Linked DNA regions of Rattus norvegicus. The protein of the gene in region 2 interacts with the protein of the main gene of each other region in a biochemical or structural test. Links are inferred from orthologs where the notes say so. Each region holds a gene or a part of one and is shown on either strand. Other genes may lie near its edges.

Region 1 (15,438 bases), on a different chromosome or scaffold from region 2:
TCTCTGTTAGCATCAAAGGTGGGCTCAGAAAACATCAGTTAAAAATAAAGATGATGCCAATGGGACACTGGCTTTTTTCAGTCTCTAGCTTATCCATGAAACCTAGCATCCTTTCTCACCCTTGTATAGTCATACCACAATCATGTGTCTAAAAGACGGCCTCCTGTGAGGTAGCAAGTAGACCCACCCTGGAAGGTGAGTTTAAAGGTTTTTTTTTTCTTCAATGGCTAAAATGCTCTTGGCCATTTAACATCAGACAGTTCCTTCTCTTTGCCTCTGCATTGCCACACAGCAGCCCAAAACTTTATGTTCCTCAGGAACAGTCTTCTTCCCATCTGGCTCATGATGCAGGCATTAAGGACCACTCCATGGACCTCTAGAAAATGAAGGGTAGCTGACCTGTTGGACCTTGTGGTCTTTGTGGCTCAATTGGTCTTAAGAAGACTCTCATTGAAGACAATATTCCTGGCATCCATGATAAAGAATAATAGATCATTCTAAAATGCTTTTTCCTTTAAAGCTTATATAAGCCAAAAAAGGTCTTAGATTCCTCAAAATTGATCAGAGAGAGTTGAGATATGTTGACATATAAATGGTCAGCAACGGTAAGATTAAATACTGCCCCTAGGTAGCTGCTGTGGGCCCATATCTGGCCAGTAGTGCAGTAATTCAACTTCTTCTCCTCCATTAGCACCAGATCCCCAGGATACTTAAAGTTCCTCATATAGACCTTGTGGCTTAGGGGCTGGCTGTTGCAAGACTGACCCCGGAAGTATACTTTGGAATATACGAAGTACAACCCAGCCTCATTGATCACAAGGCCGCCTTTCTTATACTTCACTCCAGAGATCAAAGCAGTTCCATATGTGTCTTCCCATTCCAGAGGGATGGACCTTGAGCGGGGGTTCCCTGTAATAAACCAGAGAGGAGCATTCAGCCAGAAATGTTCACATATCTGACACTCTAAGCTTCCAAGGCAAAACTGTGGGGCCTCCCTTAACAAAAGTTCTAACCAGAATGACAGCTGATGCGAGTGACTTAGGAGTTAAAACATGGTCCACCGCTGAGTTTCTTCAACACATTTGTCAAATTCCCCACCTCATTTTAATCATCCATGTGTTTAGGACAAATTCGGTGTGTGCCTCAAGTGAAACTCGGGGAAGATTATTAGGATAACTTCAGTACTTTGTAATAAACACTTTATGACCTAAACTAGTACCAATACTTCCGGGCTTAGGGACCCCTCCATAAAGAAAGGGATCTCTGGAGCTCTACATCTGGACAAAGTCTCATGATTATGTAGTCCATTCATTTAGTATGGATTCCTTGGCCTCTTCTTTTGGATTAATCCCCTTCCTTTGTATTCATACAGGATTAAATGGACCAACACACAGCAAGTACTCAATAAGTGTTTATAGACCCAGACTTCTCTAAAGTCTCCAAGTGATTACAAGAGCCATGCTAGACCTCTTATTGTGATATTTACCCACATTTTGGATGTTTATTTTCCTAGTGGAGGGGCTCATAGCAATTGTACTAAACCACTTTTTCACTTTATAATCTTAGGCTGAAAGCCCACAAATGCCAAGACTGTCTCCTCTTGCTCGAAATAGATCATCATTTCACCGTCTGCTGCTCCCATTGGATCTACATCACAAGTCCCCCCCCCCCCCGCGGACTTTGAAATGGTTAAAAGGAGTATATGCTTTGCATGGGCAAGATCAAATCATACACAATTCCATAGCAGTGGGTTTTGTCAGATTAGGGTCATGAGATCCAAGAGACAAAAGAACGATCTTGAGTGATAACTACAGTTGTCAGTCATACTTTCCAAGAGCTGCAATGGAAAATGAGCAGTTGGTCCACATTTTTCCAAAGGCTTCCTGTCCCCCACCCACTCCTTCCAGACACAAACCTGTTAAGTGGGCCACACTCCTTGGCTTTTTGGTTTCAGAGGGTGTGCTGGGGTTGGCTGCATAATAGAGAGATAAAAGACATGTGAAAATTATTGTGATAGAGAGACCACCTACTATCTTAATGGGACTACAAATCCCATCATTTAAATATAAGATTTTCAGAGCCTAAGATGAAATATTCTAGTACACACTCACCGAGAAAATCTAAACTGGGAGACTCACAGGAGTCTGTATTTCAAAAACTGTTTAAAAAGACAAGATAGGGGAAAGGCAGATATATGCCTAAATTGCATTGCAATAAAGCAGTGAATACACTTAGGTAGAGCTTAACTGTCACTCCATTTAGAGCTTGCCTTGACCCCTTTAGGTTAAGATTACTGCCCTAATTATGATTGGCAAAAGATCCTAGAAGCTGACTGACTATAATGATGGAGGCAATCAATGTGCACCCAGGCTGTTAATCTGGGGTTCTGTATCCCCTGATTCTGCTGACTGATACGAGTCTAGAAAACACTACTGATTCCCCTCCGGACCATCAGCCTACATCTATCCCCACATGGACTCTATTAAGACCTCCTCACAGATCATGAGGTTGTCCAGGTTGCCTTTGCCTCACTTCCCTTCCGTCATCACACCCAGTGCTTGCCCACAGCAGGAGTCCTGTGACCTGATTATGTCCTTTCTTCCCTGCCCCTGGGCCTTTGCTCATTCTGTCTGCAACACCCTCCAGATGAGATCTCAGGGTTAAATTCCCGTCAATTCTCTAATGACGATCTTCACTGCTCTTTTGTCAACTATGACCGTTCAACCTTCGAAACCAAAAATCCCTCTGTTTTTTCCTTTCTTAATACTTCTGGCTTCTCCTTACTGAGGCAATTATAAAAAACTTGTCTTTCCTTCCTTCTTGTCGAGGAAAACTGCACCTTTCTGCAATAAACACTTTATGACTAAACTAGTACTAACACTGCTAGGCTTTGAGAGCCTGGCCACCAAGTCTTTCCCTACTGGTATTTTACAATATGGTAAAGTCACAAGAGCATTTAGCCTTGTTTAGCATAGCATTAGTAAATTAAATTGATGTAATTAAAATTTATAATATTCTTAAAAATGAACACTATTTCTCTAACTTCAAATACTTCAGCTAAGGTAGAACTCTCGTACTGGGCTTCATGAATTCAGCTAACTGATACATTAAAAAATATTTATAGGAAGGTACTTGTCCACCTCAGGTTTGGAAGTAGACTATGAAACACACACTGAGTGTGAAAATAGCCCGGTCTATTTAGATCATCATAGAAACAACTGTGTCCTCTCTAGCACCTAGAACCAGCCCCCCTTGAAAAAAAGGGAGGAACAGGATAGGCAAGACTAGACCTTTTATACACCACAAACCACCTGAACAGCTAACCTGCCACACACTAACAGGAAATGAAGCTGGGAACCACACGCTGCTTATCTTTAAATTCTTCATACAATCTAGTATAATGTTACTTTCATAAAATATACTCCCATAAATATCTGCCGGAGAGGTTCTAGCAATATCCAGAAATACAAGGAAAGACTTTTCCTGCCTCAGGCTCCTTACATGTGAAATGTGGAATGTCCTCTCTGCTCCCTGACCATGCACACCTCTTCCCTCCAAGAGAAGAGGGGTCTGATTGATCCCTTGTGCATCAGCACAAACCACTCTATAAAGGACTTTCCCAGACCGCTCTACTCTGCATCCTTCTTAGTACGGATTGGAATTGTATTGTTGGTTCGTGTTTGTTCCTCTTCTCTACTGTGCTTGCTGAGAAAAGGCATCCGTCTTTCTCTCTCATCCTCAATCACCAAGACTCAGCCTCTGTCATAGGAGGCTCTCTAAAAACCTTGTAGATACATAAGATGTCCAGTTAGCTAACCACGGGGAAGGTAACAGTATAAAAAGATGGCTGCTGCGTGAGAAAAGGCACTTGCTGCCGAGTCGGAGCTCCTGAGTGTGATCCCTGGAACCCACAGGGAGAAGGAGAGAACTTATTCCCACAAGTTATACATGTGTGCTTGTGTATGTAAACACACAAGAAAAAAAATGTTTAGAAAAAGTATTTTCTTAGAAGTTTAAAAACATGCATGCATACTTTCATAATGAGTATTAAACTGAAAATGGCCTTTGATAACTTGTCTGTTTACCTAACAGTATGAAGAATATGCTATTCATGGCATTAAAAGTCTCACAAGGTGGTTTGGGTTGCTGTTCGTGATGTTCCCCTATTGATGTGCCGAAGTGTATTCAACTCATCTTCTACTCTGAGAGTTCGGTTTCTTCCAAACGGTTGTCGTTTTATCAGAAAGCGATGAACACTCCCAGCCAAAAGAACCCTTCGGTGATGCGATGACAAGGTAGACTGACAGTTCAAGACCTCGGTATGAACTTTCTTAGTGTTCTTCAGAATTCTTACAGCAATCTCCATGCATGCTGGATGAAACTTGTGCCAAACGTGGCTTTTCCTCTCTCTCTCTCTCTCTCTCTCTCTCTCTCTCTCTCTCTCTCTCATTTGATAATCTTTGGGGTTTTTTTCTTTTTATGAATTTGATTGAAGAAATAAATACTCCTTTTTTTAAATAAGCTCCTCTTAATAGTAAAGTTTCAATTTTTGACGTTCTTGTGATGGTTTATCAATTTCTGAAGATAACCACTGGGTAGGCGACCTGACTCATCTGTTCATTTGACTTCTCTTCACTAAAATGATTCCATCGAGTGGGTGAAAATGAGTGAGTGCCATCTGTTTCATAAGCCACGCTCCACTGATTTTCAAAATGATTTCATTTCAGAAATCCTGAGAAGTTTCATTTTTCTAACAAGTCATTTTCCACTGTGCCTGTGTAAACTGGGCTCTGGTCCTTAGAGACTTGAATGCAGAGCTGAAAACCAGAGCACACCATAGTGACCCCTGAAAGAGCTTATATCCCCTTCCTTCCTTCCTTCCTTCCTTCCTTCCTTCCTTCCTTCCTTCCTGTCTCTCTCTGTCTGTCTCTCTCTCTCCCTCTCTCTCTCCCTCTCCGTCTCCCTCTCCCTTCCTCCCTTTCTTTCTTCCTTCTTTCTTTCCTTCCTTCCTTTCCATTAATTAATTTATTTATTCACTTTACATCCGGGTTGCAGCCACTCCCCCATCCTCCCTCACACAGTCCCTCCTCCTACCCCTCCTCTTCTCCTTTGAGAAGCGGGAGCGACCCCCACCCCCATCCCCCCCCCCCCGATATCAATCCACTCTGGCACATCAAGTCACTCAGGATTAGGCACATCCTCTCCCACTGAGGCCAGACATGGCAGCCCAGTTAGGGGAGTGGGATCCACAGGAAGGCAACAGATTCAGGGACAGCCCCCACTCCAGTTGTTGAGGGACCCACATGAAGACCAAGCCGCACTGAGTGTGGAGCCAGCACTCCTTTTGATGGAAGGTTCGGTTTTCTTCAGTTATTAGGATAAAACTGTTGTGTTGCCCTTGCAAGAGACACCAGCTTTGCATTTGCTTCTCATTTCTCAGCCGTTATTGAAAGGTGGGAGTTTCTCTGTGCGTTGTAAAGTCTTAATAGATAGCAAGGCGTCAGGGGACTGTTCTCTTAGCCCCAGTTTCATACCAGGGAAGCTGGGCATTGAACCTAATTGGTCTAATATTGTGCATCTAGTATTTTTGCCTCTGTCCTTAGGAGTCACAGTCACCACAATGTAAGATGGGACCAAGATATCCATGGAAGGAGCCAAGGGAAAAGATCCAGGGCTGTATGTGTGCTCCTTTCCAGTCAAGTCCAAATTCTATTGAGTTACGTTCGATATTCATTCAGATACACTGATATTGAGCAGTAAACTACCTTTTCACACTGAACAAAGAGTTAAAAGTTCCTCAGGATTTTGTGCCTAGGAATCATGAGCCCAAGAATGGGACGGAATCTCAAGCATCCTCACAACTTTGTTGAGTGTTGAGTTCCTCCGGGAACTCAAAAGACAGACATAAAAGTACTTACCTATTTGCTTTTCAAAAGATGATACTCTAAGGCTGTGGTTGGTGAACTAGTGGGGGGGAAAAAAGAGTCATAGAATAAATGTGGAGTTATTTAAGCCAAGGAGGCAGAAGTCACAGCAGTCCATAGAAAGAGGACTCAAATATGTCAGACCCTGACTGAGTTAGAGTTTGGCCATGCAATTGTATCTAGAGTTATAGTAAGGCTTCTAAGTCTTTTCAAAGAGATTTATTTACACTTCTGAACAAGATTTAAAGTTTATCTTCTTCCTTGAATCACTAAATATGAAGCAATAAAAAGTTCATCAAACACCATTGACAAGTGAGAGAAGAATAATTATTTGCTTCGAATTGTCTAGAAGGTGGAAAATAACTTCCTTTGAGCAGTGGTTCTCAAGGGAACACCGCAGCTCTTTAATACAGTTCCTCATGTTGTGGTGACCCCCAGCCATAAAATGGCTCCCCCACTAAGGGGTCATGACCCACAGGTTGAGTGAGGATCACTCTCTTTGAGGGAGTGAACGCCTGCTTCTCCAACTAGAAAGAAGAGACTATAACAACTCTTTTCTAAAAGCGAGGGGATCAATAAGATCTTTGCCATTCAAAACAAAACAACAGCAAAAACCTCAAATCATTGCAAACAACACAGTGGCCCACATGGGCCATAGCAAGTCCCTACTCCCACACAGCAGAGTCCAGGAACTCAAGGGCCTATTAACCCATGTGCTAGACTTACCTCACGGAGTTCTGCCAGTTCCTTCTGTAGATGAAAGAGTTGATACATTCCTAACCCCATTCCAACCAGAGCCACCAGCACCATGAAAAATATCACCGGTAGCCACAGCTCTATGTTGTCCTTCTTCTTTAGAGGGCTTAGTGGAGGCAGCGGGGGTGGTTGGGAAGGCGGTGGTAGTGGTGATGGAGGTGGTGGTGGAGGCGGTGGTCTCCTTTGTCCTGGCCCTCTAGGCCCAGAGGATGGACAAGAAAAAACTGACCCTGGAGGAGCCCAAGGAGAAGTGGCACTGCTGTCTACCCAGTAGATCTGGGGACATGGGTAATTCACGGGCTGCTGCATGGCACCCAGCCCCAGGAAAGGGTTTCCTCCTCTCAGTCTTGTGGAGACTGAAGTGTCAAGGACAGGACTCTGATGCTGACTGCTCCAGAGAAGGTAAGTGAGTTTTCTTTATAAAGTTTCCACAGTCAAGGGAAACACCTCTCTCCAGTTCTCTTCTCTTTGCTTCTCCGTGAGACACCCACTCATTTGCATCTGAAGCTGAGAAGCCTTAAAAGAAAAAAAAAAGCTCACAGCAACCCCAGGAAGTTTCCGCCCACAAATTTCTGACGAAAACTCTTCGAAGTTCCAATTGGCATCTCTGTGCTCACTGGTAAACCAGGCTTACCTGCCTGAGGTCCCACTCAGCAAATCAGCGCTGGATACCCCTAGAGGACATTAGCTATTCCACAGCTGCAAGACCTGTGCTATGGGGTGTGTCCTGTGAGGGCTGTTGGTGCTAAGGCACTGGGAAAAGACCAAGGCGTTTGGCTAGGGAAGCGATCTCTACAATCCGAGCACAGGGAATTTAATCCTCAATTGCTGTCCTTCCCTCTACCGAGCCCCCATTTCATAGTTGAGAGGGTAAAAGTCGCCCCACCCATTCCACAGATTGGATCAGAGGTTACAAACCACCACCAGGCCCATATATCCTTGGTACCACAGGATTGCTTTCCTATCACCAATGTTTTTGGTTCCCTTAGTTGCCCTCTTTCAAAATTGAGATCGCACGCAATAAAAATGCGTACTTCTATTCTCTTTGGAAACAGAAGAGTAGGACACATCCCCTGGCCATCTCTGAACACCAGGCAGCCCTGCCCCCACTGCGCCTGCCTCCTATCCCACTTCCCCTTCCTACTCTGTAATCATTTAACTTCACAATCCCTATTCTGGTTACCAAATGAAACTTGAAGTGCCTAATTCAGAAGAGTTTGGGTAAGCGGTAAATAATTCTTTTCTATAGCAAGTGTACCTTAAGCATCGCACAGGACAGACTGAGCATTACTCAACATTTACAGCAAATTTATGCCTTTCTAAAAACTGACCACTCCCTAGGTTTGATTTCAGTCTTCTGGCCCCACATACACAGCATTTATGTATGCCTAACAACCTCTAAGAACTCAGCCTTGGTTCCCATCACTTCCCCATATAAACCATACAAATCCCAGTAAGTTCCTATACTCCACCTTTTTTTTGGGGGGGGGGCAACTCTACTCTTTAAGAGGTTTTAGTTTTTATCTTCTGCGTTGGGATGTCTGGGATGAGCACCTTACCTCTCTCGCCTATGCTGAAAAACTCCCAAAGTGTTATATCTCTGCTACCTTCATCCTGATCCGCCCCAGCTGCTAATTCTCCTGAGTCACTCTGCTGCTGGCAAGCTCAGGCTGCTCTTTCCTTTTGCCCCCGGCCAGCCAGACCTGCTTTTTCTCACCTGCGACACATTTCTCATCTTCCCCTCCTTCATTATTCCCACAGCTGCTCTCCTGGTATCAGATTAGTCTCTCCTGGCTTTTCTACCTCAGCTCCCAGCCTTATTCAGTTATCGCATCTTCAGTTATTGTCTTTCCACATCTCTTTGTCCCTCTTTTGAATCATTTTTTTTCCATAGAGGATTCGAAATATCCAACCCCTACTAGAGTCCACCAATCCCAGGGAGAGAGTCCTAGCTGAAAGAGACAAGAGAGAAACTTGTGGAAACTCGGTTGGCGTTTGGTAGTGCCGTTCTGTAAGTGGCAAGACTGAGAAAGAATAAACACCCCTGTGAACAGACTCGGGGAGCCATTGCATTGGTACTGAGACCTTGTTAATGAAAAGAAATCGCCATTCTAAGTAGAACGTAGCTCTGTAGCTGCTGAAGGCAAATGGAGTGCAAGAGCCAACAGGCTGGTGGCCTCTACTTTCTGGAACCTCAAATCGAGTCCTTGCAGCCTCCTACTCCTACGACTCCAGGGAATTAGCCTTAAAGTTGGCTCGATAGACTACAGGCCAGAGCTCCAGGGGTGACTCAGGAGCAGCAGAGGGTGACACAGAGCCAGGAAATCTGCTATTTACCTTAATGAGCCTAGGGAAGCCCTTTGAGGCAATCTGCCAAGCAGACAGACAGCTCAGACAGGAACTTCTCAAACGTGAGCAAAGACCACACAGCACATCCCAAGTTTGGGTTTGTGAATTTATGAACGAGAGCCCACTAGTTCAACTTCTCTGAGTACCTCCAGGGATGCTCAGTTGAGTCCCTTAAAACCTCTAGCAGCTAATGAAGGACCATCCTAGCCTCTGCTTTTATCTCTGCTTTGTAAAATGCTACCCACCTTTCCGATTTCTGCCAGCATTATACCTACAAAGAGAACCTCACTGTCTATGAGCTGCTTTCTCACTTGTTTCTTGTGAGTTTGAATATCAGTCATATATTTCTGGGGCAATCTACTTTCCTGTCGAGTGTATTTTTCTGTTTGCCACTTAAAAGGTGTTTACCTTCTTGTCTTAGTTAGGGTTTCATTGCTGTGAAGAGACACCATGACCAAGGCAACTCTTACTCAGCCACACATTTCACTGGGGCTGGCTTACAGTTTTAAAGGTGCAGCCCATTATCATCATGACAGGAAGCATGGCAGCGTGCAGGCAGACATGGTGCTGGAGGAGCCGAGAGTTCTACATCTTGATCTGAAGGCAGCCAGGAGGAGCATTGGGTAAAGCCTGAACATAGGAGACCTCAAAGCCCAGTAATTCACTTTCACCAACAAGGCCATACCTCCTCTAATAAAGGTCACATCGCCTAATAGTGCCATTCCCTGTGGCCAAGCATTTAAACACATGAATCTACAGGGGCCAAACCTATTCAAACCTCACACCCCCTCCATTCTGATTTTCAGGATCTTCTTATACTACACACACACACACACACACACACACACACACACACACACACACACGGTTGCCTTTAGACATTGCAATGTCTTCTCCCATACCCATACAGACTTCACGTGTGGGTTTTAAAAGATCCCGACCTCACTTTTGCTTATGAGTCTGGAGTCTCTCTTTAGGTTTCCGTTTCTATGTGTATGACAGAAGAACTGAGAGAAACCTGTTTAGAAGACAGAAAGATTGATTTTGCCCATGACATCAGGGGGTTCAGTGCATGGTTGGTGGCATGGGTGAACATCATAGGAGGGGTTTATTGTAGAGCAGAGCTGATCACCTCATGGTAGCTAACCAGCACTGGGCTTGCTTTTATAACAAAGCTCCTCCCCGCAAACCTATTAGGCATATGTAGATTAGTCAGTTCATGAGATCAGAATCTTAAGGATCTAATTACCAGGTTCCTAGAAGCCCTCTTATATTGGAGAGCATGCCTTGGATGCTTGAGCTCTAAGGAGACTTCTACAATTCAAACCAGGAGCCAGAAGGATGGCTCAGCGGTTAAGACCATGTCCTTTTTTTGCAGGGGACCTGACTTCAGTCCCAACTCATCATAGGCAGCTCACAGCTACCTACAGCTCCACAGTGCACAGTGCCCCCTTCTGGCCTCCCAGGCACAGGCAGCTGCATTCACAAGCACATGCCCACACGTAAGACACACATGCACATACATACTTAAAAATAAGAAAGAGAAGTTTCGGAAGTGCACACCTTGTACTATGTATGAACTGATTTCCTCAAGCCCATCCCTCCCTCGTTTCTTCTACTGAACCACTGTGGCATAGTTACCATGGTTCCACTGATGACATCTTATACCTCTCATTTTTGTTTGATCTATCCGTCCATCTTTCCTGGTAAGAAAATTATGCAGCCACACCTTCCTCTCTGTGTCAGGAACCTCAGAGGCAGGAAAATCCCAACTCAGACTCCCCTTAAAAATCAGTCCCAGATCCTGCTAAGACTGAACCCCCAGTGAACTAGACTGTTGAGGGGAGGGCGGCAATGGGGGGAGGGTTGGGAGGGGAACACCCATAAGGAAGGGGAGGGGGGAGGGGAATGTTTGCCCGGAAACCGGGAAAGGAAATAACACTCGAAATGTATATAAGAAATACTCAAGTTAATAAAAAAAATAAAAGTTTAATGACCTAAAAAAAAATTATGCAGCCCTCATCATGGCATTATAGATGTGGATTTCTTTCCCCTTTATAGAGACAGAGTGTCTCTATGTACCCAAGCTGACTCCCAACTCAGTATATACCCAGGCTGGCCTCCTACTTGTAGCAATCCCCCTACCCCCTTTTCTTAAATTCTGGAATAACAGATGCTCACCATCATGTCCAGCAACTTTAGAGATGTCTTGACTGTTTTGACAGTCCGTTAGGCAAAATCTTTCTCTTTGCTCTGAAAAAAAAAAAAAACCCTATTTGCGTATTTTTAATCTCCCACATGTGTTAGCAGAGAAAACACTCATGTTTGAAAAACATCCCACAGACTAGTAACTACAATTGAAACAACCTGAGAGAAGTGCTGGACAAGGAAGTGTATCATTGTCATTGTTAAGAATGACGTATTAACATATTAACATATTCTCTTCATAGGTGAGCCAGGGAAATGAGGGAATCCTGGTGACAGAAACAGGACGCATTCAAGCCAAGGGCATTGTTTCCCAACGACTTGCACTCTTTCTTTCTGTTACTGTTTGCTATCCCTCTTTACTTCCACCGACGTGATCCAATTGGTTCAGGAAAATCTACTAGTCAGAAAACACTGTTTACTGCAACTTAGTAGGTGAATGTCTAGACCTTGCCTTACTTTAAATTGGATAGGTTCACTCCTCAAAAGAAAGAGGGTGTGGTAAGTGTAACGTGTTTCTTATCACACCAGACTGAAGAGGGCTGTGGTCGGGCCGTGATGACAGTAGTGATGGGTAGAAATTATTCTTCAACCCTTGATAACACATGCGACAGTATTGTTGTTTTCTCAGAACTATTTGCTTTCTTCCTTCTGCAGCTCATGGATATCAGTCAGGGCTGGTCGGGGAAATGAAAGTTACTCAAACTATGAGGAGCAATGGAAGACTTAATATAATGAAAGGCTAAGTGTTTTGCTTTGTTTTGTTTTGTTTTTAAGGTTATGAAGGCCAACTTTTAAAACGTTTAAGGGATACAACCAAAACTTCCAGCTCCTAACAGCATTGAGTCTGGTGATGGTTAGGGGGCCCCAAGAATGTAGAAAAACACCCACAGTGGCCTCTGCTATATTTAGCTGTCCTCTAGGAGCTACTGTCAAGGGCAGCAGCTTCTCCTTCCCACCTTCTAACCCTCACTCAGTTGTCACTTCCCAGTGAACTCTACTTAGTATCCTACTTGTAATGGAGAATGGGAATGATGGTTGTCATCTCTGGCCCTACTCTCCTGGAGGCAGGGGTGGGGGTGGGGGGAGTGGAAGGGTGGAGATGCTCCTGAGTATTAACAAATTGTATGTTGTGCTTTGTATCTACTTAATTCGCCATCACTGAATTCATAAGTAGATCCTTGGCTGATTGGTGAAAGCAAGAGAGTCCCAGGTCAGGAACAGGACATCAGCCAGGAATGCTATGTACTCTACGTGCCCAGATGTTAGGAGTTGCTTGGTAGCTCTCCTGTGGAAGCCTGAAGACACTGACTTTTCCTTCCTTTCACTAAGTTGGTTCATATGATTCTATGCTACTTTGTAATTTTAATATCTTTTCGCGGCACCATTTCAATATCAGTGGCTTCTCATTGACCTTAGGGTAAAATATGAACTCTATATTTATTTGAACTTCTTTACTTCCACAGCCCTGAGGTATCTAGGCTTCAGTCACACCATAAGTTCACAGTTGAGCCAAAATGATAGCCCAGAGAGGGCCTAATGTGAGAATGATCATAAGAATATTTAAAACTAGCTCATAAGCAGTGTTTTCAAGTGCCTCTCAAGGGTGAAGGGTCTAGTACCTATAGAGGAAGTGAGGCGGGGTATGAGGCACACCTCATAAGTATCTAGTAAGACTGGAAATATGTGCGTCTCGTGGGCACGTATTTTTGAGACAGTGTGTCATGTACTCCAGACTGGCCTCAAACTCACTGCATATGTAGTCAACAGTAACTCTGAACTCCCAGTTCCTACACATCCACCTCCCAGGTGTTGGGATGGCATACCTGTGCTCTATTACCTATTTTGAGGCACCTTTCTATGGGACTGTTTTTGATGTTTGAACTTCTACATTAGAAAAAAAGAAAAACACATGTCACGATGGGTTTGTGGGAAGTATACTCACCAGAGGCTGACTTAAATGTCAAGGTCGTTGCATCTGGCACCCACTGTTTCCTCTGAGTACTTTGCAGATATTGTGTAGGGCATGCAGCTGGATGCTTCAAGAGCTTCCCAACCTTAAGGTAATCTCATGAGAAATCACTTGTAAGCACGCAATTTTTCTGTCACAGGTTTACTTGCTGTCTGTCACAGACCTTGGAAAAATAGGGAAATTAGAGCCTGCTTTAGTAGTTGGTTATTTTATGAATAAGATCCCTCCCAGGAGCCAAATTTGAAAATTATTGCCACTGCTTCTGTTTTGGATAAAACATAGACTTGGTGACTTAAACAATAGAAACACATTTCCTCCCAGTTTGGTAGACCAGAAGTCCAAAGTCAGAGTACTATAGTAGGTGGGTTCTACCTGCCGAGTTTTCTCTTCTTGCCTTGCCCCTTATTTCACAAAGACAGTCACTGGGCTTCAGAAACATAAGAGGGTTCCCCCAAGATTCCAAGATCCCACAGGCAGAAAGGGAAAAAATCAGCAAGAAAACCTGGCCTGTCTCCTAGTGCTTTTCCACAAAATCAGAAATGTCTGTAAATGAAAACACCCAGCAGCTGGTCTCTGCTCAAGTTCAGCCACGTATGTGTTCAGCATCTAGGATACCTAAGACACCATGAACGCTGCAAGGGCAGGCAGGACAGCCCCGGGGTCTTAAGGAACTGGGAGTGCCTCTAATGTCATCCTCCCTCTCTCTCCACTTCTCCTGACCATTTATGGTTTTCATGAGCAAATATGAATGCAGTGTTCTTTTGGACTAGATTGAGAGGAAAAGTGGAAAGAAAGAGGCATTTATTCAGTGCCTACCACACACCAAGTTTTCTAGGAACAATATCAAGCAACTTTATTTGATTCTCGAAGGGACTTCTCAGGTAAGTATAATGATCCCCACTTGGCAAATGATTCAGGGAAGTTAAAGAACCCATGAGATGGTTGGACTTGAATATGAATTCAGGGCTTTGTAGTAGACCTCATTACACCCATTGACTTCATCTTCTTCTCATGCCTGTCTTCTCGTCCCTGCAGCGTCTCACATCCTCTCAGGGTGCCTTCGAAAGTAAAGCTCCCCAAGTGTTGCTTACTTTTTTTACTGTTAGTAAACACCTGACCAGAAGCAACCTAAGAGAAGGATTTCGGTTTTGTTTGTTTGGGGCTTAAAGTCAGATACAGTCCATCCTGGCAGAGGTGACAGTAGTTGGTCACATTACATTTGTGGTCAGAAAAACACAGAATAGACAAGAAAGTTGAGCAAGGTTATGAAAGCTGTGCCCCACAGTGAACCACCTCCTCCAGTACATTCTACTTCAAAGGCCCCACGGTCTCACACTCCACCCCCCAAGTAACTGGAACTCCCTTCTCCTTTCTAAATTCAAGCATCTTCCTGGGGAATGTTTCAAGGTGTGGGATTTTAGAATCTGTCATCTCTTACAGATGGTTCACAGGAAATCCTCACCAAGGGCTTCCTGAGATCAATTCTTAGCCCTTGGCTGAGGTCAAACAACTTACCACTTACTGTTGGGTTGTGCAAACTCTACGAATAGAGCTATATAACCAGACCGCAAAGGCAGCTCCACTAGACTGAGTTACTTGAGGGCTTGGAGAAATACAGCTTCTGACACTGGGTCTCCACTGTCGTAATCATCAAAGAATGGCACACAGAGAATGAGTTCCTCTGAGTAGTCCCTGTCTCACACATGCCAAGGACCAGAGATGTTGTGGTTCAACAAGGTTCCGGGCACAGAACTGTACAAAAGGTCTCTGAGATTCCTGCTGTCTCCAAAGACTATGGTTCCATGTTGAGGTAGAGGATAAGTAAAGGGTGAGATGATGAAGTGGATGAAAGGAAAAGAGGATCAAGGAGGACAAAAGATGAGGCACTGAAGAAAGAGACATTGATTGTGGAGATTGAAAGGTAACTGAAAAGGAGAAAATGTCAGGTGTGCGACTTAGTTGTGAATGTGGCTGTATGACACCATTTCAACTAGAGGAGCAATGCCAACATGAATAATACATCTCTGGCTTTCTAGGATACAGATGGCCTTGCTCTTTTTGCCTTTTCTTGCCTTTTTCTATACTGTATTTGTTCTCACATATAACTCTGGTAAAAAAAAAAATCTGGGAAAGGGATTGAGAGCATTACTAGAGAAGGAAACTATTCTGATGTCTATTAGGAACAAACTCCTCTGACCCTGGCCATTCAAATTGTCAACCCAAGCATAACAG
Region 2 (14,925 bases):
AAATTACACTCAATCACAAATTCCATTATGGTATTTTTAATTTATAGACAAGCCCTCAGTTCTACGAGCATACTGATAGAAAAACATAAGAAAATGCACTCTTGGAATAGGGAGGGAGTTAGCGGTGATTACTCTGCAAGCACGAAGCCTGGAGTTTGGATGCCCAGCGCCCATTTAAAAGCTAGGCATAACCCTGTGACTTCAGTGCTGATGGGGCAGAGATAGGATTCCTCGAGCTCACTGGCCAGTGAGTCTGACTAGGTTAAGGAGCAGTAATTCCCCTGGCTCAATAAATGAGGTGGAGAGCAAATGAGGAAGACACCCAGTATCAATATCTGACACGCCCCACCCCCACGCACACACAGAGACGGAGGGGCAGAGCACGAGATTTTCCATGACTTATACAGCCGACAAGGGACTAGTATCTCGAATCTGTAATTGCTACAAATCAGTTTTAAGTAGCTTTTATATGCTTTCCAGAGGCAGAGGTAAACGCTCGGATGCACATTCTCAAAAGGAGAGATTACAATGGCTCAGATGAACCAAAGGAATTTGATTGTATTAGTAATCAGAGAAACGCAGAAGAAACTCTCCAAACCAGCCCGGCTGACAGAAATCAAAAAGTGTGTTGATGACTGTAGGTAAATGCTGGGGTTCGAGGGCCGCTATGGCTGCTCCCTCAGTCCCTGCCTTGGCTATTTTTTTTGAGCACCCCTGAATGTTAATGACAAAGCGTTGTGATGAAATCCCAAAGGGCCTACAAAAGTTGATGACAGCAGCCTTCTGAGTCACCACACAGGCGGTGCTGCTCTGGAGCCATGCTGTAGGCACAGGTCCACTGTTCCGGAGAAGGTATATTGTGTATTGCTATGAACAGGTGAAACCGAGACCTGTTGACAGTATTAATAGGGCAATGATTCATCCATGGTCTTTCTTATATAATCCATAGAGATTGGTCTATCTATACAGTCCATAGGTGATTGATCTACGATCCTGGAGCACATAAAAATCCAAGGATATCTTTCACATAAAATGACACAGTACTTGTTTCCAACTTGTGCACATTTTCATGGATACTTTAATCACCTCTAGGTAACTTAAGATACCTAGTGAACGCAAATGCTACGTACATAGTCGTTAGACTATATTGCTTAGGTATAAAGAAAGAAATGAACAGAAAACCCTGTATCATAAGTGTAACCCTCTCCCCAAATATTTTCCACCTAACACAGGTTGACTCCAGAGACATAGAGGCCTGACTGTACTTTATGACCCAGCAAATCCATTACTCCTAGAAAAAATATTCATGCACCACCAAAACCACAATCAAAGCAATATTCACAGTAGCCACAACTTAGGAGTAACTCTGATTTTACCAGTGAATGTTGAAAAAAAAGAAGAAAATTCTATATCTGTTGCACACACACACACACACACACACACACACACACACACACACACACACACACAGCAACAAATATGCACTAACTGTTATGACATCCCAAGACATGGATGAATTCATTAAAAATGTCTAATAAAAGAGAAGAAATTCAAGAATATATTCAGTGTGACCCATTAATATTAAGCCCAGACAAAGCTGGAGTAGTCTGTTTGATACATGCTGTACCACACATAAAAGTAGTCAAACTATATACAAAAGACCTTGCACTAAACTATGTATAGAAAGACTTGGCCTGCACGCATAAGCACCACTTCCAGAATCCGTGGGTTTAAGTCAGGAAATTATGACAAAGGTCAGAGTAGCAGCTGTCCCTGGGGGTAGGTAAGGCTGGGATAGAGAAGGGACAAGAGGAACTTTAGGGTCTGACAAGTTTTTTTTTTTTCTGTGAACTTTGTAAATACTTGTTACTATTCGTGCTGTAGCTTTTCTGTGGACATGCTACATCCCCTAGAATCAAAGTTAAAGAAACAAAGTCACTCCCACTCATCAACCCGAGAACAATGGAGCCTGGAAACGTTCACATCCTTTGAAATGATGAAAAATATGCTTTCCAGAGGCAGAGCAAAAGGTTGCCAGGAAAGAGCGCAGCTGCTAAAGACATTGAAAATGCTGATAAGGAATTTGGATTCAGCCGTGACTTAACATCTGTGTCCGCAGCTTTGGAACACCAGCAGACCCACCAAAAGGATGGAGAGTTACCTTTAAGAAAAGCATATAATTGATGTGGGAAGTTGGCTGATTATTAGTTTTAACTAAATTGCTTCTAAATAAGAATATATTGGATTGAGAGATGATTCAGAGGGTAAGAGCACTGGCTGTTCTCCTAGAGGCAAAGGGTCGATTCTCAGCTCACGTGGCAGTTCATAACCGTCTGTAACTCCAGGGGACAGAAGCCCTTTCCTGGCATGTTCACAGTGAGCGTACATACACACAGGTAAGCACTCAAAAACAAGAAGTAAAAACAAATCAATCTAAAAAGAGGGGGGTGGGGGACAGCCAGGCAGTGGTGGTGTGTGCCTTTAATCCCAGCGCTTTCAAGGCAAAGGCAGGCAGAGTTCTGAGTTCAAGATCAGTGTGGCCTGCATAGTGAGTTCCAGGACCTACATAGTGAGATCCTGTCTCAGAAAACCAACCAACGAAAGACTGAATCAAACAAAACTCAAAAATGTTCATTCCTTAAAATAAAGCCTTCCAGAGAGCAAGCTTTAAGAAGTCACATCCTCCCCGTCGTCCCTGTCCAGTCAGATCTCTGGGAATGTTAACAATACACAGAGGAAGCAAGGCACCCACAGCAGACGCTAGCATTGCACAAATGGGAGGAAACAGCTTGACGCAGAGACAACTTTCGCTTTCATCCCAAAGGCCTTCTTCCTGCAAAGGGCAGGTCACATCTGAGGACCTCTTCCCTGTGTTTCAGTCCTTATATTGTGAGAGGCAGTCTGTGAATAACACATCGTGATTAATGGATATTATAATTTACTCACTTACAACGATGATATAACTTTAACTGGCTGGATTTTGTTTTGTATGTGAAAAAGTAGTTCCCGTGTTCCTTGAGGATTAAAAACTAAATCTCGGGACTGGAGAGATGGCTCAGTAGTTAAGAGCACTTGTTGCTCTCCCAGAGGATGCGGGTTCTATACTCAGCCCTGACATCGTAGTTCACCACCATCTGTAACTCCTGCTGGGGTGGGGAATCCAATGCCCCCTTCTGACCTTCCTAAGTACCAGACATTCAAATGTTTCACAGACATACATGTAAGGAAACATCCATACACCTAAACAATAAAAAAAAAAATCTTTAAAAAACAAAGCAAAGCAACGAAACCTGGGCAGTGTTACAGTCTCTCTGTGAGAGGAGGCTCGGATGGGTGGATGGATGTGCACACACGCGGGAGTGAGGCACAGGCACCACTGACTCTGACACGCAGCACCCACAGTCACTCACTGTCCTTTTGGCTTTACTCCCAGTGCTACCTGCTAAAGTTCAGCAGGGTGACATCTTCCAGGTGCTAAGGAGATGCCTAACCAACAGTCAAACTCAGATTCGGCCATGTTTTCTGTTTCTTGTTCTTCCTTCCTGCCTTTTCCTCTCATTCCCTCCCTTCCTTGAAAAGAAAACTTATAAACAACTGGGTGAACGATGGCTCCTGGCACCCAGGAGACCTAGGCAGGGGGATCGATATGAGTTCAAGCTCAGGAGTGAGGTCTGGATAAGACAGGGGGATATGGAGCAAGACTGTCTCACAGATGAATGAATGAATGAGTGAATGAATGAATGAATGTTGAGTAAGTGACACTATTGATGTCACTGTTTTAGTAGTAATATTTTGCTAGAATTTTGAGACACATTACTGTGGGGGACTGGTTAAATGGTGCCTAGAAGCTCACTATATTGTTTATTTCACATCATGCCTGCGTCGTTGAAACAGAACTCACATGTCAGGCTCTTTGTCCATTTCAGGCACACAGCTCGTCATAGTCGTGAGGTTACTACCATAAGCTACTTTGAAACATTTCCATTAACTCTCAAAGATCAATCCCTCAGCAACCGGGCACCCACTTTCAATCTCTGTGGCTTTGCCTGTTCTGGGCTCTTCATATTCTATGGGCACACAGAACGATGCCCCCATGACCAGCTCTTTCCAAGGGGTTGTCCATGGTACGTGTGCACCAGCTCCTTCTATTCTGTGACTATAACAATGTTTGCTTGTACATTACATTTTTGGTAAAGATTCAGGTTGCTTATACTTTTGTTTCTGAGACAGTTTTTGCCATGCAGCCCAGGCTGGCTCCAAACTTAAAATTTTCCTGCTTTATTCTCATAAACGTTGAGGTTCTAGACCACTTCCCTGCTATTATGATATTATGAGTAATGCTGTCACAAACGTTCCTGTTCAGGCTTTTATGGCACGTACTCACTCACTCCCCCCCTCCCTCAGTTGAACTTGTTTCTTAATGTTACTGCTATTTTGCTTTGACTTGGCATTTCTTTCTTTTCAAAATGTTATTTTATGTGTCTGAGTGTTTGTGTATATCAATACACAAGCACATGGCTGGTACCCAAGGAGAGCAGAAAAAGGGCATCAGATGCCCTGGAACTGCAGTCACTGACATCAGAGAGTTGCCCTGTGATGCCAGGAATTGATCCAGGTCTCCTAGAAGAGCAACCAGGGCTCTTTCACCTCTGAGCCATCTCTCCAGCTCCTTCTGTGCTTTTTCACACAATCGTGTGGATGCCAATTATCTCAAAAATTATTTAAAGAAACAAAAAAGGTCCTAAGCCTGAGTGTAGCTGTCACTGAGTTGAGACTTCAAGTGTTTGCCCAGAGTGAGAGAATGAAAGATGGCTGCAAGAGGAGAGAGGATTTGGGCAAGCATCCATGTTCCTAACCTGGAAAAGATAAAGGAATCATTGAGTCCCACATCTGTCTGCATTGAGCGAGCATCTAAGCAGACAGAATTTGGCCCAAGACAGAGAGGAAAGCAAGAAATGAGGCTTCGGAGTGGCCCCGTGCTTGGCTCAGTGGCTGGCAGAGGTTAGAAACCTTCATCATCCCCTCCAGAGTGGGACACTGTTGAACACTCACCCATCCAGACTTCCCCGAACTGCCCTGCGCCGAGTTTTTTCACCAGCTTAATGGACTCCCGGGGGATCTCCCAAGCATCTTTATCCCATGGCTTCTGTGGTTTGGGACTGATGCATGCCTTCTCCAGTCTTCTGCATAGACCATCAGACTGCTCTGAGGTGAGAGGAAGAACAAAGGTTAAGGGATGTGTGCCGGGCTGCAGAGATGCCTCAGTAAGTGAGAAAGCTTGCTGTCAATCAAGTCTTACCAACCTAGGCTCAATCCTGGATTCCCCAACATACACACACAGCAAATGTAAAAGGAAGAAGGGAAAGGAGAAAGAAAGAGAAAGAGAAACAGTAATCTAAGCAATAGAGTTTGTAACCATGGCAGATGGGTGCCAGGGTCCCCTTAAATTCAAATAACAAAGTTCCATATATCTATATCTACATCTACATCTACATCTACATCTACATCTACATCTATATCTATATCTATATCTATATCTATATCTATATCTATATCTATATCTATATCTATCTATCTATCTATCTATCTATCTTATTTAAATTATTCTTATATTACTTATATTACCAAATACAATGTGAACACCATGTTGTAACCCACATTGTTTAGGGAAATGACAAGAAAATCATGGGTACACATTCAGTACAGACACATTTAAAGATTCTTGGCTGGCCAAATCTCTGATGCAGAACCAATATGGTACGGTCTTTTTTGTGTCTATGTAGGAAATCTTGAATACGCTGTTATTTTTATAAATACAACCTGACACCATCTAAAATGCAAATGGGGATACCTTTTGCCTAATCCAACCTTAAAAATTATCGGAAGACAATTTGAAACATTTTGTTTCATTCATTAACACCGCCAGCATAAGTAGACCCTCAGTGAGTGAGTTTTGTCATAGAGCCTCTTAAAGCAGGCAGGAGGAACCCACTACAGCGGCTCCCACATCTGATGTCAGCCAAAATGAGTGGACTTAGTAAGGCCACAGAGGTGAGCTTCACAAGGCAGACACTGGTACCGGACACGAAGCATTGACTTTCTACTTTTAAATATGCCATAGTTCCCGAAATGCAAAACTTTACTGTCAGAGGGTTTGCATGATGGCTAGGCAGGTAAAAGAGCTTTCTGGGTAAGCGACTTGAGTCCAATCCCTAGAACCTATGATGGAAGGAAGGATGGGCACACAGTCCTTTTGCATTACACTCAGAGACATGAATCTGTACAGCTTGTCTTTTGAATATCTACACACGTTAAGAGTATGCCTTGTGTAAAAATAATATATACTTTTCTCCACAGGAAGGGAAACGCACTAGATGTTAAGTAACTGACAATAAGCAAGAAGGCCCCACAGCAATCTCTCTGTGAATGTGGTGACAGCCCCCACTTACTTGCCCAATGTTCTCTATTTACCACGGTGTGAAATCGCGCCTATACAGTCAGCCTGTGTTCATCTCCAGCCAATAGCGCATGGAGGTTATGAGGGTGAAAGACTCTGTCCAACTGTAGGGACGCGTAAGAAGCTGAGTACATTCACCGAGTAAGCCGGGGTGATAAGAAGACAAGGCGAGTGAAACGTACTTTCAACTTACGCCAGCTCACAACAGATGCATGAGAACACATGACCACTGGAAGTCAAGGGGTGTCTATGTTAAGGAAAAACTGCTCATAGAGTACTACCTGCCGCATCAACGGAAAGAAAAACTATAAACTTTATATTAATCGTCATAAAGACGATCTAACTTCTCCTGGCCTTCGGCTTTCACTTACTTTGGTAATGCTTAATCATGTCACTGATACAGGGAAAAGTGATCCTCGGAGAGATGTAATAACCACCATTGTCCAGGCTTCTGATTTTGTAGTGCTTAATGACGTCGCCATGCATAGGGTCGTAATCTCTGACGGAAAGAGAGAAGCTTCCTGTGGGGAAAAGTTAAGCGAAGGCGTGCTTACATGTTACTAATAAAGGCCACGTTATACCGCACTGTGGTACACACTTTATAACGAAATTACAAATATAAACGCATCACAGGAAAGTCCTGCAGCCGGGTGCAGGGATGATTTTCATCCAAACACTTGGGAGGCAGAGGCAGGAGAATCTTGGCCAGTTCCAGGCTAGCAAAGGCCTCAAAAGGGAAAATTAAAGGTACTTTAAAATTTGGACTCGATCAATGACAATAGCATTGTGTTTGCTAGACAAGCAGCCAGTATATCACTTTCCTTCTTCACCGTGGTTTTCCAAAGTCATTTGACTGAATAGAAAAATCGTTTTGAGTTTCCTCTTGACACTTAGGACTCACTTTCATAATAACACAACAAAACTGTAAGTACGACCTGGCCATAATTAAGACTGTTTTCTGTTTATTAATGTCTATCATTTGAGTTTGTCATTTGCTATCAAAATGCAAAACTTTACTGTCAGCGGTTTGCACGATGGCTAGCTAGGCAGGTAGAAAGAGCTTTCTGTGTAAGCGACTTGAATCCAATCCCTTGAACCTGGGATGGAGGGAGAGAACTAATTCTCAAGGATGCCTTCCAACCTCCACGTATGCACTGTGCCAGACAGGCACACGCACGTGTACACATACATGTGCACACATAACATGTACACATACATGTGCACACATAAAAATAACAACAACGACGACGACAACAACAACAACAACAACCTCAAAATTAAACCATCTAAGTGTGGTGGCACAAGCTTTTAATCCCAGCACTTAAGGGGGATTTCTGAATTTGAGGGCAGCCTGCCTAGTCTACCTAGTGACTGGTCTACCTATTAAGCTACAGGTAAGCCAAGGGCTACAAAGGGAGACTCTGTCTCAAAACTGAAGAAAAACCAAATCCAAACCCAACCCAACCCAAAAGTCACCCCTTCATTCCCAGAACCTACTGAATTCTTTATTTTATTCATTCCAGAATCATTTTTTTCAAATGATTTCCAGTGTGTATGGCTGTAGCTTGATGGCAGAATGTTTACCCAGCATGCACGATGCCCTGTGAGCTACATCTAAGGAGACTGCCCAAAGCCCTAAGAAGTCTCTATGGTCTCTAACCACGTACTCACCCTTTAAAGTTTCACTTTCTCTGATCAGGAAAGCCCCGGCACTGTTCCCTGGTGCCAGAAGCTGTCGTTCTGCATCTTTCCTTGTTATGTCCTTGAAGAACCACCTGTGAAGACATATTCACATTTCATAGGTGTTTGGGCAGGGATACAAATGTAAGCAAACCAGCGCCGTGTTCGGAAACACCAGCTGGCTGTGCGAGAGGACTCACTCTTCGGTTTCTAAGGTGTTGACCTTGGCCACGTAGTTGCTGGGGATGAAGCCTTCTCTCTTTGATGAAAGGGACTTAGCTTTCCACCACTCCCCGTGCCTGGAATAGAAATCAAAATTAATGGTCGCAATGGCAACGGTCCTATGGCATTTCTTTTGCAGAGTGAAGGCAAGAGGGAGCATTCCTAGAATCCCTGAACCCAAGGGAAAAGTGCATTCCTTTTCATAGAAAAATATATTTAGTGATAGGAGCAAAAAAAAAAAAAAAAAGCATCCTTACAACTTCAATGTGGCCTGCAGTGCAGCATAGAAAAGAACTAGCAAAATGGCCAACCTTAAAGACGCCAAACACTTCTCACTTACCCCGGTGCCTAAGAAATGTCTGAAAGGATCCTTATAGCAATGGGTGTGGAAGGAATAGAGACTTAAAATTCATGTGCTATAAACTTTATCTACTTTATCCAGAGATAGGCACCATGAATAAAGAAAAATAAAAAAGTAAATAAATAAACAGACCAAGAGTAATTAAGAGGAAGTAAGCCTCCTCACGTGGTACTGCACAATGCTATACTAACCCAAAGTGTGGCAGGAAGGAGAAGCAGGAAGGGCCATGCCCAGAAGGAGCAAGCAAACCAGATGGGTGGGGGTATGTGATTGGTCCTTGAAAGCCTCCATGTTACTCTTCAAATGCCTGCATACAGATCAGACTCTTGTCTGTGAGAAAAGAGAGTCATAGCCAACTCTGAGCTGTACCTGGGAACTGTTTATCCAAACCACAGGCAGCCTGCGTACGCTACCCCTTCAAACAGAGCAAACTGTAGATTTAAAGTATTTAGGTTGGATTTTTTTTTTTTTTGACATGTAGGGGTATCGAACCTAGGACCTTGCATATGCTAGGCAAGCTCTCTCTCACTGAGCAACCTTCTCGGGACCTAAAACTTTTATATCTATGGTTCTTATTATTCTCCATTCAAGTGCAGCATAAGGTTATTTCTACAACAATCACAACCACATTGTGTTAGACAGGAGAAGTTGTCCAGAGATGGTTTGAAGTACGGAAGGTGGTTATTTAGCATAGATGGGGCTCATGGGCCACGTGGTGCGATTTCTAAGGATGGGGTGCCACGGCCACACTGGAAAGTCCGGCTCAGCTTCCTCACTGATTCCCTGCAGCTGCTTATGTGTTTCGTTTCCTTGACCCCTGTGTGTTGACTCACACGCGTGACCCTGGTCAGGCCCCAGGGCAGTGAGGAGGGAGAACAAGGAAGTCTGAGCACTTTAGGTCTAACTTCCTTTCTGTACTGAATTTGCATAAAGCAGCACCCTGACCCTGACCTGCCACAGAGCGAGAGAGTGGATAGCCCCTCCCCGAAGATAAAGCGCTAAGTGCCTATCCAGGGCATCAGGGTGAACTTGCATTTCAACGTGGCCCTTTCTTGTGATAGTTCTGAGACCATGAAGAGTCACTTAGTCTATTCCTGGGAACCTTAACTTTCAAAATGGAGATGACCCTATCTAAGTCACGGGATTATGATGGGCATTATGTGTGTGTGTGTGTGTGGTATGTATACATGTTCATGAATGTGTACTTGTGTTTGTAGGTATGCATTACATATGTACATATGTGCTCCTGTCAGAAGATGCCTCATAGGCATTCCTCAGATGCTATAGGTAGATATAGATAGGTATAGGTATTAAAAATAGGTATAGGTATGTATAGAGATAGGAATAGGTATAGATTAGGTATAGCTATAGGTTTTTTTCACAGGCCTGGAACTTGCCAGACAAATTAGACTGGCTGGCCAGAGAGCCTTCAGGGATGCGCCTGTCCCACCTCCCCGACCATATGCCACCACAAGCAAGTGCTGAACTAACTCAGGATATGACTGAGCTCTCTCCCAAACTCTACAATGGCCGTCTTAAGTAGCATGTCACAGAGCCAAACTTCTTAGGTAGCATTTTGACAAATAAAGAAACAGTAACTGTCCTTGTTGGGAGAAACGATGGAAGGGCTCACCCCTACATTCATAAGGGAAGTTCTTTTTGCTCTGTTCCTTCTGGCACTGAAGCAACTGGGGGGCTGGCATACTTACTCTTCCAGAACTTTCATCTTTTCTCCTTTCTTGAAAGACAAGTCGTCTGGGTGGATGCCATCATAGGGATACAAGGCCACCACAATGTCCCCTTGCTCCTCTGGATCTAAGAACAAAAGATACAAGCAGAGCCCTTCAAAACCTAGCAACATAGACACAAAGGAAGAGAGGAAGCAACGGAGAGAGGGCCGTGGAGTGAAGCTCCGTGCTTCCCACCTGTAAATGGCATGAGGTACATCCTGTGCACACCAAGACCCACAGGAACCCACTATACCTTTAAAACCATGTTTAGGAAAAAATGTACGCGTAATCGTGGCAACACTGCCATAGTCCCCAAAGGCAGAAGCTACCCTAGTGAGCACTAGTGGAATGCATAAAGTGTGACACATACACAGAATAGGACATCCACATACACAGAGCAGTCAGCCTTAAAAAGCATTGAAGTTCTTACACACAATGGAGTGTAGATGAGCCTTGACGACCAAGTCAAACGAGCCAGGCAGGAAATGACAAAGACTATATTTCCAGTTGCTTGTGCTACATAGAATCAAGTCCATAGGGACAGAGAGTGCAATGGTGGCTGCCCAGAGCAGAAGGGAGTGGAGAACAATGAGTGAGTGCTTAATGACAGTGTTCCACTCGGAATAATGAAAACCTTCTGTGACGGACACTGGTGACACTTGCACAGCAATGCGTACTTCCTGTTCTGAGCTCGACATTAAGAAAAAAAAAAAACCACTGAAGCTGTGATAAATTTGAGTTACATATATTTTCCCATAACGACAAACAAAACATGAATAAGGTTGAAAGGAAAACATACCTTTTGCTTGAAATCTCTGTCCTGGTAAAAGTTGAGATTCAGGAACCTACGGAAGAGTATTTGTTAGAGGAAAAAAAAGTCATGATAGTTTTTCTTTTTTCTTCTCACATGCATGCCATTTTCCTAACAGTGACAAGCGAGGTTTAGATTTGCAGCCACTAAACGAGAAAGAAGAGCCAAACAGAAAAATCCTATAGGGAGATGCCAGGGCTCCTAGTTAGACTCTCACACTCGATGACGTCTTTGGCAGGGTCCTACCTGCAAGTCAGTTTCATGGCTTTTCGTGGACATATAACCCTTGGTTTGTGTCAGTAGACCGAGTGGATAGGGCTTCCTGAGATGGGGACTAGATGACAACCCACCAGGATTGTTTCTCATGCTTTTAACAGGACCCTAATAATTGGGGTGGCAGTTTGCCCAGTGTGATGTCTGCTTCTAGACTCACAGCCCTCTACACAGTGGTGGGGAGGAGCATTTCATAAGCTCACTGGTTGGGTATGGCCTTGGTAAAATGTGCCTCTTAATGCCTAGAAAGAACTAAATGTTGGAGGCACAGCAGTTATGGAAGGTACATAGTAAGTAGGGCCAGTACGACCAAACACAGAAGTGACAGGACCCTGCTGACTTACAGACATCGTCACTTGCTCATCTCCATGCTTCCTGAACTTACTTACACATTTGATCAGACCTGTCACTAACAGACAAACACAAGCCCGACCGACTCAGGCTTTCTTGTCTGGCTGTCTGTCCAGCGTCCAGGGGTATCCCTCAGTTATGGCAGCAGCAGGGTGTTTCACACCAGGTACCTTCTATTCCGAAGCCTTTCCACAAAGAGCACTGCTAGGGGTTATGTAAGGCCTGGTGACCTCCTCTAAGGACATCCTGCCTGGGCCCTGATTTTAAACATCTCATCCCTCTGCTTCTCCTCGAGTAGTCATTTCATCAAAGGTGACTGACCAAAGTGGTTTATACTAAAATATAAATTTCTCCTGAAAGCGAGCCCATAAAATCTCAATCAAATACACTGAGCGAAAGGACTGGAGAAGCGGGCAATCATTGGTCCATACTGACATTCAAGACTTAAAGCAGTTTTATACTGCTGTTTTAGTCATGTAAGTTGCATAATTAAGAACTGCATTCTGTTTTATATGATTTAGAGAAAACAATTAGGTGAGAGATTAAATAATTTTGAAAGCAGCAAGCTGATCTGCAAATACCAGAGAGGTTAGTTTACAATACAGCAGAGCACATTTTTATATGGCTGGCTAGGCTGGTCCTGAGATGTGTGCACCGCAGGACTCCAGCCCATCTTAAAGCACTTTCGTAAGACACATACATGTGACGCCCCATGCTATCACTCTAGCTCTTTCTTGAGCAGTTCCACTTTACCTCCTTGCAGAGCCCTTTGTGATCCAGTGGGAGCATGTGTTTTTCACATGTGGCAAAGACCGAGAGTCTTGTTTATGGTCATAGGATGAAGCCAAGCTAAGAAGTCCATGGGGAACATCTATGACCACAGAAGACCTGAACTAATTTTTTTATGGTGAGCAACTGAAAGATTTTAAACATGTTCACTATTGCTTTTCAATCTATGTGTAATCTTTTTTACATTGAATGTTTGAGTTTTTTTTTTTAAACTAGCCTCCTTTGCTTTCCTAAATAAATAACACTTGGACAAACAAACAAAAACAAAAATCCCAAAATGGACAAACGAAAAACCAAACCAAACGAAAAACACAACAGATCCAAGCAAACAAAGAAAAAAACAAAACAAAGAACTCTTCAGGTTTTAAAGCACATAAAAAGCTATAGAATTTGCTACAAGAAACAGAACTTTTAATGAGGAATTTGAAGTGCACAAGAAAACTACCTTTTGCCTTTTCTTTGCTCTAACATTTCTATTAATCACGTTTGTCTAAGGATATAACTCTATATCCATATTTATAAAGTGATTTTAAATTTTATATTGATATATATTCATCATCACCAAATTACTAGTACTCTTAACAATCTTCTACATTTGGGTGGATATGCTTTCTAACCTTTTTTTTTTCAAATGTATTTATTTTTATAAGGATAGGTATTGCACCTGCACAGATATCTGTGCACCATGTGTGTGCATGGCAGAGTCCAGAAGAGGTGTCAAATGCCCTGGAAGTGGAGCTACAGAGGGCTGTGATCTGACATGTGGGCCCTCTGCAAGACCTCTATATGCAACTTTATCCGATATATTGATAATGTATCTATTCAGAAACACCATATAGAATAACTTAACAGTTCAACGCAGTCAACATTCACCACTGCTTCTTTTTAACTAACTCTGACCTAGCAGTCTAAATGATGACAGCTGATTCTGACAGCACTAGACAATGACAATATATTTCTAAAATGTCAGACTTAACAGCATAGGTCAGGGGCTGGAGAGATGGCTCAGAGGTTAAGAGCACTGACTGCTTCTCCAGAGGTCCTGAGTTCAATTCCCAGCAACCACATGGTGGCTCACAACCATCTGTAATGGGATCTGATGCCCTCTTTAATAAATAAATAATTCTTAAAAAAAAAAAAGAGCATAGGTCAGACTGGAGAAACTCAGCAATTTCTTCTGTTTTGCTTTTTCAGACAGGGTCTTACTGTGTAACCCTGGCTGTCCTGGAACTTTCGATGTAAACCAGGCTGGCCTCGATCTCCCATGGATCTACCTGCCTCTGCTGCTGACTTGTGATTGCAGGTACCACCATGCCTGTCCAAACAGATAACAAAGGCATTTGGGCTAAATGGGAATAACTTGTTTTCAGCATACATGCCAAGACAGTCCATGACACCTGGGTGATGGGTTGGCATACAGACACCCAACGAGAAAATGCTTTCCAGGTTATGAGCTCCAAAGTAAAGCGGATTGAAAGTTATAACTATCCTAAGTTCTGAGTTCCCCTGTGTTCCTAAAACTTGGCAGCACTTCTCCAAGTCCAGCAAGTGGCACATCGCTTAAAGTTTCTAATGGGGACACCCGTGTAAAGTGTCAAGGCAGACTCTGATAAGCTTTTTCTTAACCTTTTACTCCACTATAATAAATCGTAATGATCTTAGTCTCTGTACAATGTTAAATCAGTTGAAGAAAAGGCAACAAGGAATTAAATGTAATACCCCAAAGACACACTAGCTATCACATGTTTTAGATTCTGGTTTAAATCCAGCAAATCCTTTGTCCCTAGAACCTCTATCCTGAGGCACACATGCCCGGGTACATGCTGAGGTCTTTTCATCAGGAGCATTAAAGATGGTTTTCTCCATGCTTGAAAATGAAACCAAAGATCTATTTATCATCTAATAAGTATCCAGACTATCCCTAAAATCTCTACACACTTTTCAAAGGATTAAGTTACAAGGAATATAAAATTATCTGGGGTCCGTGTAATCAATATGATTTTTTTTTTGCATGCAAAGATTGGGGTTTAGATTGTGCAGCCGTGCTCTGACCCTGGTGTCCCTGAGACTAGTCTACTTACTGGCCTTTGCTGTTTATTGGACGTTGGATCTCTCACATAAATAGTTCGGTCAGTATTACGTACTGGTTGAGTCTTCATATCTACTCCATCGTCATTCAGATTGTCTTTCCTTTTTGATTTAATACATCCCATATTTCCTGTTGGAATAGAAAAGCAATGGTGTTGTTTTT

What was found.
Region 1: the proteins of Lyn (region 2) and Faslg form a complex in vitro, tested with the Homo sapiens proteins (2 studies listed by BioGRID, with this or other methods). The link is inferred for Rattus norvegicus from reciprocal best matches to the Homo sapiens genes LYN and FASLG.

Annotation. Positions count from the first base shown.
Region 1 is NC_086031.1:76,688,442-76,703,879, forward strand, and holds the start of Faslg (tumor necrosis factor ligand superfamily member 6), read right to left. Parts: upstream 7,063-15,438; 5' UTR 6,990-7,062; coding exon 6,651-6,989; intron 5,965-6,650; coding exon 5,919-5,964; intron 1,973-5,918; coding exon 1,916-1,972; intron 910-1,915; coding exon 515-909; 3' UTR 1-514. UniProt on the Homo sapiens protein: Cytokine that binds to TNFRSF6/FAS, a receptor that transduces the apoptotic signal into cells. Involved in cytotoxic T-cell-mediated apoptosis, natural killer cell-mediated apoptosis and in T-cell development.
Region 2 is NC_086023.1:21,502,759-21,517,683, reverse strand, and holds part of Lyn (tyrosine-protein kinase Lyn), read right to left. Parts: intron 14,893-14,925; 5' UTR 14,888-14,892; coding exon 14,756-14,887; intron 11,296-14,755; coding exon 11,250-11,295; intron 10,536-11,249; coding exon 10,430-10,535; intron 8,437-10,429; coding exon 8,338-8,436; intron 8,233-8,337; coding exon 8,129-8,232; intron 6,979-8,128; coding exon 6,829-6,978; intron 5,206-6,828; coding exon 5,053-5,205; intron 1-5,052. UniProt on the Homo sapiens protein: Non-receptor tyrosine-protein kinase that transmits signals from cell surface receptors and plays an important role in the regulation of innate and adaptive immune responses, hematopoiesis, responses to growth factors and cytokines, integrin signaling, but also responses to DNA damage and genotoxic agents.